Linked DNA regions of Caenorhabditis elegans. The protein of the gene in region 2 interacts with the protein of the main gene of each other region in a pairwise test. Each region holds a gene or a part of one and is shown on either strand. Other genes may lie near its edges.

What was found.
Region 1: the proteins of ehs-1 (region 2) and T04C9.1 interact in a two-hybrid assay, tested with the Caenorhabditis elegans proteins (2 studies listed by BioGRID).

What each region holds. Positions count from the first base shown.
Region 1 is NC_003281.10:5,991,203-5,994,956, forward strand, and holds the start of T04C9.1 (Rho GTPase-activating protein 26), read left to right. Parts: upstream 1-2,016; 5' UTR 2,017-2,071; coding exon 2,072-2,225; intron 2,226-2,302; coding exon 2,303-2,398; intron 2,399-2,983; coding exon 2,984-3,273; intron 3,274-3,682; coding exon 3,683-3,754. Other genes in the region: T04C9.2 (uncharacterized protein), read left to right, coding at 678-1,028.
Region 2 is NC_003280.10:5,818,685-5,822,438, reverse strand, and holds the start of ehs-1 (Eps15 (endocytosis protein) Homologous Sequence), read right to left. Parts: upstream 1,728-3,754; 5' UTR 1,720-1,727; coding exon 1,657-1,719; intron 1,610-1,656; coding exon 1,429-1,609; intron 1,346-1,428; coding exon 1,233-1,345; intron 1,187-1,232; coding exon 1,055-1,186; intron 941-1,054; coding exon 231-940; intron 178-230; coding exon 1-177. Other genes in the region: ZK1248.4 (MSP domain-containing protein), read right to left, coding at 3,608-3,754.

The DNA of each region.
Region 1 (3,754 bases), on a different chromosome or scaffold from region 2:
ACTGCACGGCATGTGACAAGACTTTGACAGTGTGAAAATGAAACGTTTTTTCTATTGCATTTTTGTTGCTGCTCCCCAACTCTTTTTCATCTTATCGGACCACTTCATCTTCAGGTCTCGCGCACTTTGTGACGTAGATTGATGAAGGTCCTCACGTCGTTGTCCCATCGTCTCTGGCAGATGTTTCATAATCGAGGATGGCTTAGTTGAGATTTCTTCCATTTCACTAATGGTTTTGATTTTTCCCCGCGCAGCATCATTCAAAAAACACCTGATCTTTCACTACAAAATGAAATAACCGACTCGTTCGTTTCAACTTTGTTACTACTTTTTTCTATCTTTTTCTGCTTTTCATTCTCTTCAATTTTTCGCGGTCCCATCTCTTCCGCTTGTGACGTCGTCAACTTCTTCTTCTTCCCCTACTTCTTCCTCCGTCGCCGCTGTCGTCGTTTTTCTTTCCTCTTCATAATCGCTTTCCGTCGACCACTCGAATATTCTGACGTTCGCCGTGCCGCGACTCATCCGTTCGTTTCTATGATTCGAATTTTTTGAGAAAAACTAGAAAGCGTTGATATTGTCAAGTGTTTCGTTTTAGGATATATTCTAAAGACGAAAGGACGGATGCAAGTGTGTGTATGTATTTGTGCCATTGCAATGACGAGAGCGGAGCAAAGAAAATGACGAAGAAGAAGAAGCAGTCCTTCTCTTCGCTCATTCTTCTACTGCTCGTTCTTCCCATATATACTCATTCCCCCCGGAGAATTGTTCTTTTCCGCATTGCTGCTTCCCGTTGCCGCTGTCGTCGTCCGCCTTTCCTTTCGATTCGAATCGGATCGACAAGTTCCAGACGGCAAGAGTCATCCCTTCCATCCATAAACGCCATCACTGTCGTCGTCGTCGTCGCCTTCTTCTTTGAAAAAATGAGAAAAGCTAGAAAAAATGACGAATTGTGTTGGAGTCCTCGTCCTTCTCCTCTGCCTCTCCTTCTTTGGCGATGGCACACAACAGCATGGCCACAACACAAATAACGCGATAACTTTGTTTCGGCTCCTATACAAATTTGGTTATTTTTGTTGGTCGCTCCAACATTTTTTTCGTCCTCATCCGAGCCATGACTTCTCTTCTCCTTTTCCTCTATTTCGTCTCAAACTTCCGTTCTTTTTTACCTAATCATCATTATTAGCCCCATCCTTATCATCTTCTGGAACCCACATCGTCATCTTCGGTTTCTTTCTTTTTGAGGCACAAGCAACAACTACTTTTCTCGCATCTTCTCTCCTCCAGCTTCTCTTCTTTATGAGCCGGGTTAGGGGCTCTTCGAAAATTGTTTCCACTCGGCTGCCTTCGTGTTTTCGACGTGCCCGAACTTGCTCAAAACCGAAGCTCACGCATCGTTAGGTAACGAAAGAATTACACGTAGGAGGGACGCACTGCCGTTTGATTCTTATCTGTCATCGTCAGGATTGTTGCAACCTCTTCAATCCTCCGGATGTGCGTTGATTCCCGCACGATTAGACAATTTGTTGTGAAGGTGTACGCTATGTTTTGTCGTAAAATAGGTCACACTTGGAAGTTTTATTTTGGCAGCTTCATAATTATTCTAATTTATGATGTGATGGATTTTCTTTTTATATTTCATTTATCTGATTACCTTTCTCATTTTCCATATCAATTCTTGCTCGGTTCATCAGCTAATTCCATTGGTAGTGTCAGAATTCATGTAGCAGATAGATAGATACTCATAGATATTCCTTCGTCGCCTCAAGTATCAAGTTTCTTGCTTCTTTTTCTTCTTCTTCTTCTCTTCGCTTGTCCATATCCCCCGCGAGTTCTTCTTTCCTTTTCTTTTAATTGTTTACTTCTTCTCCTCATTCTACTCATCTTTTCCTTCATGTTTCAGAAAAAATTGTGGTATTTTGAGACAATTTTTTCTTTTCATTTCTCTATGTTTGCCTATCACTGAGGCTTTTTCTCTTGAAAATCTCTGCAAATCATTCCAATCAAAAATAATTTCAGGACACCTTGTCCAGTAGACAAAACCCGTCTACTTAGGACTCTGCGCTCATCACAAATGGTGTTACGGGCGCTCGAGTTTTCGGACTCGATATCCGATTCTCCGTGGTTTCGACAAAATTTGCATGATCACGAAGTGGCACTGGACGACGCTTTCAAGAACATCAAGCTCATTGAGAATCAGTGCAAGGAGCTGATTGCGTGCACAAAAAGTATGTGGCTTTTCTCTCTTTTTGACCCTTTACTTTTCCATTTAATCGCGTGGAATTTATAATTATTTTTATTGCAGAGCTTTCAACAGCACAACGAGCATTCGCAAAGACGTTAAGTGAATTCAAGTTTGAAACAGTCGGAACAAATCAGACAGATGATGAACGGTTTATTGGTGAGACTTTTGTTTAGCAAAAATTTATATAAAAAAATACGCGATGTTAAAAAAAAAAGTACAAAACATTTTTATTTTAAAAAAATTTCGCAGTAAAAAAATTAATTTCGGAATTTTATTATCCAGCCAAGAAAAATCGAAATTTGCTGAAAACATGTTTTTAAATGTTTTAAAATTATTAAATTTCAATTTTTTTTAATTTACCATAGTTAAAAAAAAATTTTAAACATTTTTAGGAATAGCAAAAAAGAGTATTTTGCCGTAGCAACCGTTCATTTTTGCCAAATTTTTCAAAGTCATATTTTTTACAATAAAAAAATAGTGTTGAACTCTCTTTTAAAATTTTTTTAATTGTCTCGAATTTCAATATTCCAACAAAGACCTTCGAAATCTGAATTGTTCGTGAAATTTTGAAATTTTTATAAGTTTCCTTCAATAAAAAAATTCGTTTCAGTTTTTTCTCCCAAAAAATCTATCGAAAGTTAACAAAATCCAAATTGCAAGTGATTCTCATTGTAATTTACCAAAATGCTTAATTTTCATAAATATTTTTATTGTCTTTGAAATAATATTTCACATTTTCAGCCACATGTCTAAAAGAATTCGGAAGTCTGATCAATCAAGTCGAAGATGAACGAATGAAACTTGTTGGACAAGCTGAAGAAAGTTATTTGGAACCAATAAAAAAGTTTCGAACTGAGGCGATTGGTAGAACATTGAAAGAGGAAAAGAATAAATATGACAAAGAAAGTAGCAAGTTCTATCAAACACTTGAAAAACATCTTCATCTGAGTACTGTTCGTAATAACGATTTTCGAGCCGCTGATGCCCAATTGGAGACTCAACAGAAAAACTTTTTTCAAGCTTCGTTACAGGTTTGAGTTTATAAAGTTGTCTTCAAATTATAAAATTGGAAAAAATTTGTGTTTTAATTTTCAGAATTAATGAAATTTTGGCCATTTTCTATTTTTAGACTAAAATTTCTTTCTAAATTTTTTTTTGGAAAATCGAAGGAATTTTGGTTTTTCGAATTAAAAAAAATCAACAAAAAAAATTTTTTTTCTGAAATATTGCGAATTTAAAATTTCTTTCAAAAAAAAAAAAACTTTCTGCCTTTTCAGAATTTAAAAAAATCAAAAGTTTTCGTTTTTAGTTTTTCTAAATAGTGTAATTCAAGTTTTTAAGAATTTGCCGTTGGAAATAGTACAATATAAATTGCTATTTTCAGTTAAAAAGTATATTCAACATAATTTCTCAAAAATAAAAAATAAAAAAAATTTACAGTATGTGGCAGAAGTTCAATCAGTTCAAGAACGAATGCGGTTCGAGTTTGTCGAAACATTAGGATCTTATGTT
Region 2 (3,754 bases):
AAAGCTTCTTTAATTTCCATCGAAGTTGCTTCTGGGAGCTGTGGAGTTGAAACTGATTGAGCAGGATGATGCAAAGCTGAAGGTTCCGTAGGTGGGCGGAATGAAGGTGGAATCAGATGTAAAGGCAGTTCTGATGGGATGGACTCGCCTCGTTTTGCCATGTCAAGAAGATGCATTCTGAAAATTAATATTTAGTTACACTAGATATTTGGTAAACTTGAAAGACTTACGTCAAAGCAAATTGCTCCAAATTCAACTGTCCACATTTTTTTATATCTGCTAATGCCCAGACATGTGCTAATATCTGTGCACTCAATCCAGTAGTCATCATGGGAGCTCTCATATCCATGCCATCAACCAATCCATCCTTATTCGTATCAGTTTGAGCAAATTGATCAGCATAATCTCCTGTATTGATAGGCCATTCACCAGCAGGAAATGAGTGAATCGAGTGAGAAGCAGATATCGGAGTTGATGCACCACTGGTTCGTGATCCATTCACATGAGCCTGTGCAGAGTAAGCACGACCTGGTTGTGGTGGATATGCACGTGGCATCGTTGCAGAATACGATTGACTCATGTTCACATCATCCAATGACGTCACAGATCCTGCTCTCGATCCCATCATCGGACGTGGAGGATGTGGAGGAGCAGCGAAATTCGGTGAGCTGTGAGCATACATTGCTTTCGAAGGATGAATGAGATTTGGTGGGAGCTGTGCAGGAACCGGGTCTGATTGAAGTGATCGGTATACAAGATGAAGTGCAACAGACATTTCGATTCGATCAAGGTTTCCATCTTTGTCCTGATCCGAAAGTTCCCAAATTCGAGCCAGAGCATGAGCATCAAGTCCAGAGTTCATCAGAACCGGGCGTACGTGTGCACCAGACAATTTTCCGTTTACAGGATTCAATGATTGGAAGATGGAGTCATATTTAGCCTGAAATAATTACAAGAATATTTGATCAAATCTGTAAAGGAAAATAACTGTCAATTCTCTATTCGTGCCAATAGAAAGATTTTTTAAAAGTTTTTAATTCTCAGTTTTTGCTACCTGGTCAGTTGGTGTTATCGGCCATTGTGGTGGAAAAGCTGACGATGGATGAGCTGGAGAAGATTGTTGAGAAGAGATCGAATAAGGATGTGATGGATGTGGTGGTGGTGGCACTGGAGGAGCACGGCCAACCTGAATAATAACACTTAGAAATAGAGGAACCACTTTTCAGTCAAACCGATGGGAACGATGGTTGGAAATGATGCTGCATGTTTGCTGGTGGTACAGGTGGTGCAAACCGTGGTGGCTGAAGGGAAGAATCGTAGAGGGAAGAATTGGCGACGGGCTTCCCTGAAATATTTTGCTGTTAAGGTTACTTTTGAGCATATCGTATTTTCAACAAAATATGATTCCAAATAGGTAATAAAAGTTACCTTGTTGAGCAGCTGCGACTAGTTTAAAAGCAACAAATGCTCCTCTCTTATCTAATGATCCAACTTTTTGAGAGTCGCTAAGCTCCCATATCTGGCCTAACACAGGCATCGCCAAGTTTGATTTTTTAAGGAAAGTAGCTGCTTCTGCAGCTCCTATTCTTGGTGCTCCGTGAGGGTTCATCTGGAATATAACAATTGTTAACGTATTACAAATTGTTAAATATTTACCTCTGCGAATGCGTGATTAAAAACATCATTGTGCGGTGTAGCTATCGCGTATGAATCATCCATGTTGAAAGCTGAAACATTCCAGATAATAAAAGAAAAAAATTAAATATAGTGAAATTTAAGACTATTTTTAAATGAAACAGAAATAAAAGAAAGTTCACTAAAATGTATTGAAGATTGTTAAAAAGAAGAAGGCGTTGCGAGGAATAACGTCGTGTGTCTTCTGAATGAAAGCTCTCTCTCTGCGCCTCTCAACTACTTCCGAGCACTCTAGTACATCGATTTTCCGTCTCTTTTAAGCTTTCGTTTCCTTTTCATGTCGGTCCCTTTTCTCTTTTGGTGAACCAACGGAGGAAGAGAATGTGAAATATGCAAAAGTATTGAGTTTCAGTGGGAAGAGTCCCGGCCCTCTATGATAATGATTACAAAACAAATATATTGATTTAAATTGTAGCCAATTTTTGAAACAGGAATATATTTAACATTTTTCATTAACGGTGAGATAAAAAAATATCCCAATAACCCTATAATATATAATTATTATAAATAAACTAATTCGCAAAAGACTAAACCTGAATGACTCATTGTCGCAGTTTGTCGTCACTGTGTTTACACACACATTGTCAAGTTAATTTTATTCTGTCAAAACGGGAGAAAATAATCTGCGTATAATGCAATATTGTTTGCAATATATATTGTAATATTGTTTGCAATATATATTGCAAATAAAGCGTCTACATCGTAATTATTGAAAATAGTGATAAAATTAAATATTCAACAGATAGCATTAAAAAATCTTGCAACAGTAAATGAGAGAATTAATTAAAATCGTTAAATTAAAAACAATTAATTCTGAAAATTAAAATTTTCACTGTCGCGGACGAGTTTTCAGAAGCGCTCTATTGATAATTGTGAAAAACTTCGGCCGTGAACAACACGAGGACAATATCAAGAAACAGGCGAGCATTCGAAATATATTATTTGTAAATACAAGCAAAATAAATCAAATACACCCGTTAGTGGAATGTTTTCCTATATCATACATCTAATTTGAATATAAAACTCAAATTATCGTATCCCCATTGGCGAAATTTTCCGATTTTAACACCCAAAATACGGTACCGGGTCTCGACACGACTGATTTTTTTGAATTTAAAATCGTGTCTTTGAGGAGTACTGTAGTTTATTTCAATTTTCCAAGATTACCTTCTCATGTCCCCAGAATTAATTTAGTGAAAATCAAGGGAAACACAGGACACAATAAAACATTGAGTTTCGAAGACCTGGGACTAATTAAACAAAAGTAAGCCTGAAACCGCCTATCCTGAACCGAATGGCAATTTTGAAACTACTCCAGTTAGCTAGAAAAATATATATTTTGAGCAATAAAAATGTTTTCCGAGTAATCGAATGATAAACACAACAATGAAAATGAATAATTGTTTATTAATAATTGTTAGATTGTTAGATAGATAAAATGAAAGTTCTTTCAAATGCAGTCAGCTCCATCTTTCATCATCTCTTATCTATGAATTCAAGGCATTGCATATGATCTTGTTGATAATTCTGAAATCTAAAAAATTCGTTCTGTTAGTTCTCTAGAAACGGCTCTCGAACATACAACTTCTTCTCAAAATGATACATGCGAGGAAGTTCTGTAACAAAGTATTCAAAGAAAGTTCGTATATCACAATATCATATTTTGAAATTTGGAAACATGGTAGACAATATTATTTTTCAAATTATAAAATCAGCAACCAGTGAATCAGGAAAAAAATTATTTAGAAGTTCTATGGGTTGTATTCGATCGGAAGATTCTTGCAAGAAATATCTGTAGAAACAACGAAGCGACGAAGCCAGCTGATCTAGAGGATAAGCGACAAGTGTATATATATTCAATTTACAGAAAGAAACAACACAGGCATTAAACAATATTTATTTTACAAGGAACCTATGGGTTGTATTCGATTGGCAGATTCTTGCGGCGAACCATACCATCTCCCTGGAACCACTCGCGGCGGAACTGCTTGGCAGCTCCATCCGGAGTGTTAGTCCATTCGACGGTGATACGGTCGTTGTTGGTGTCTTCCTGTCCAAA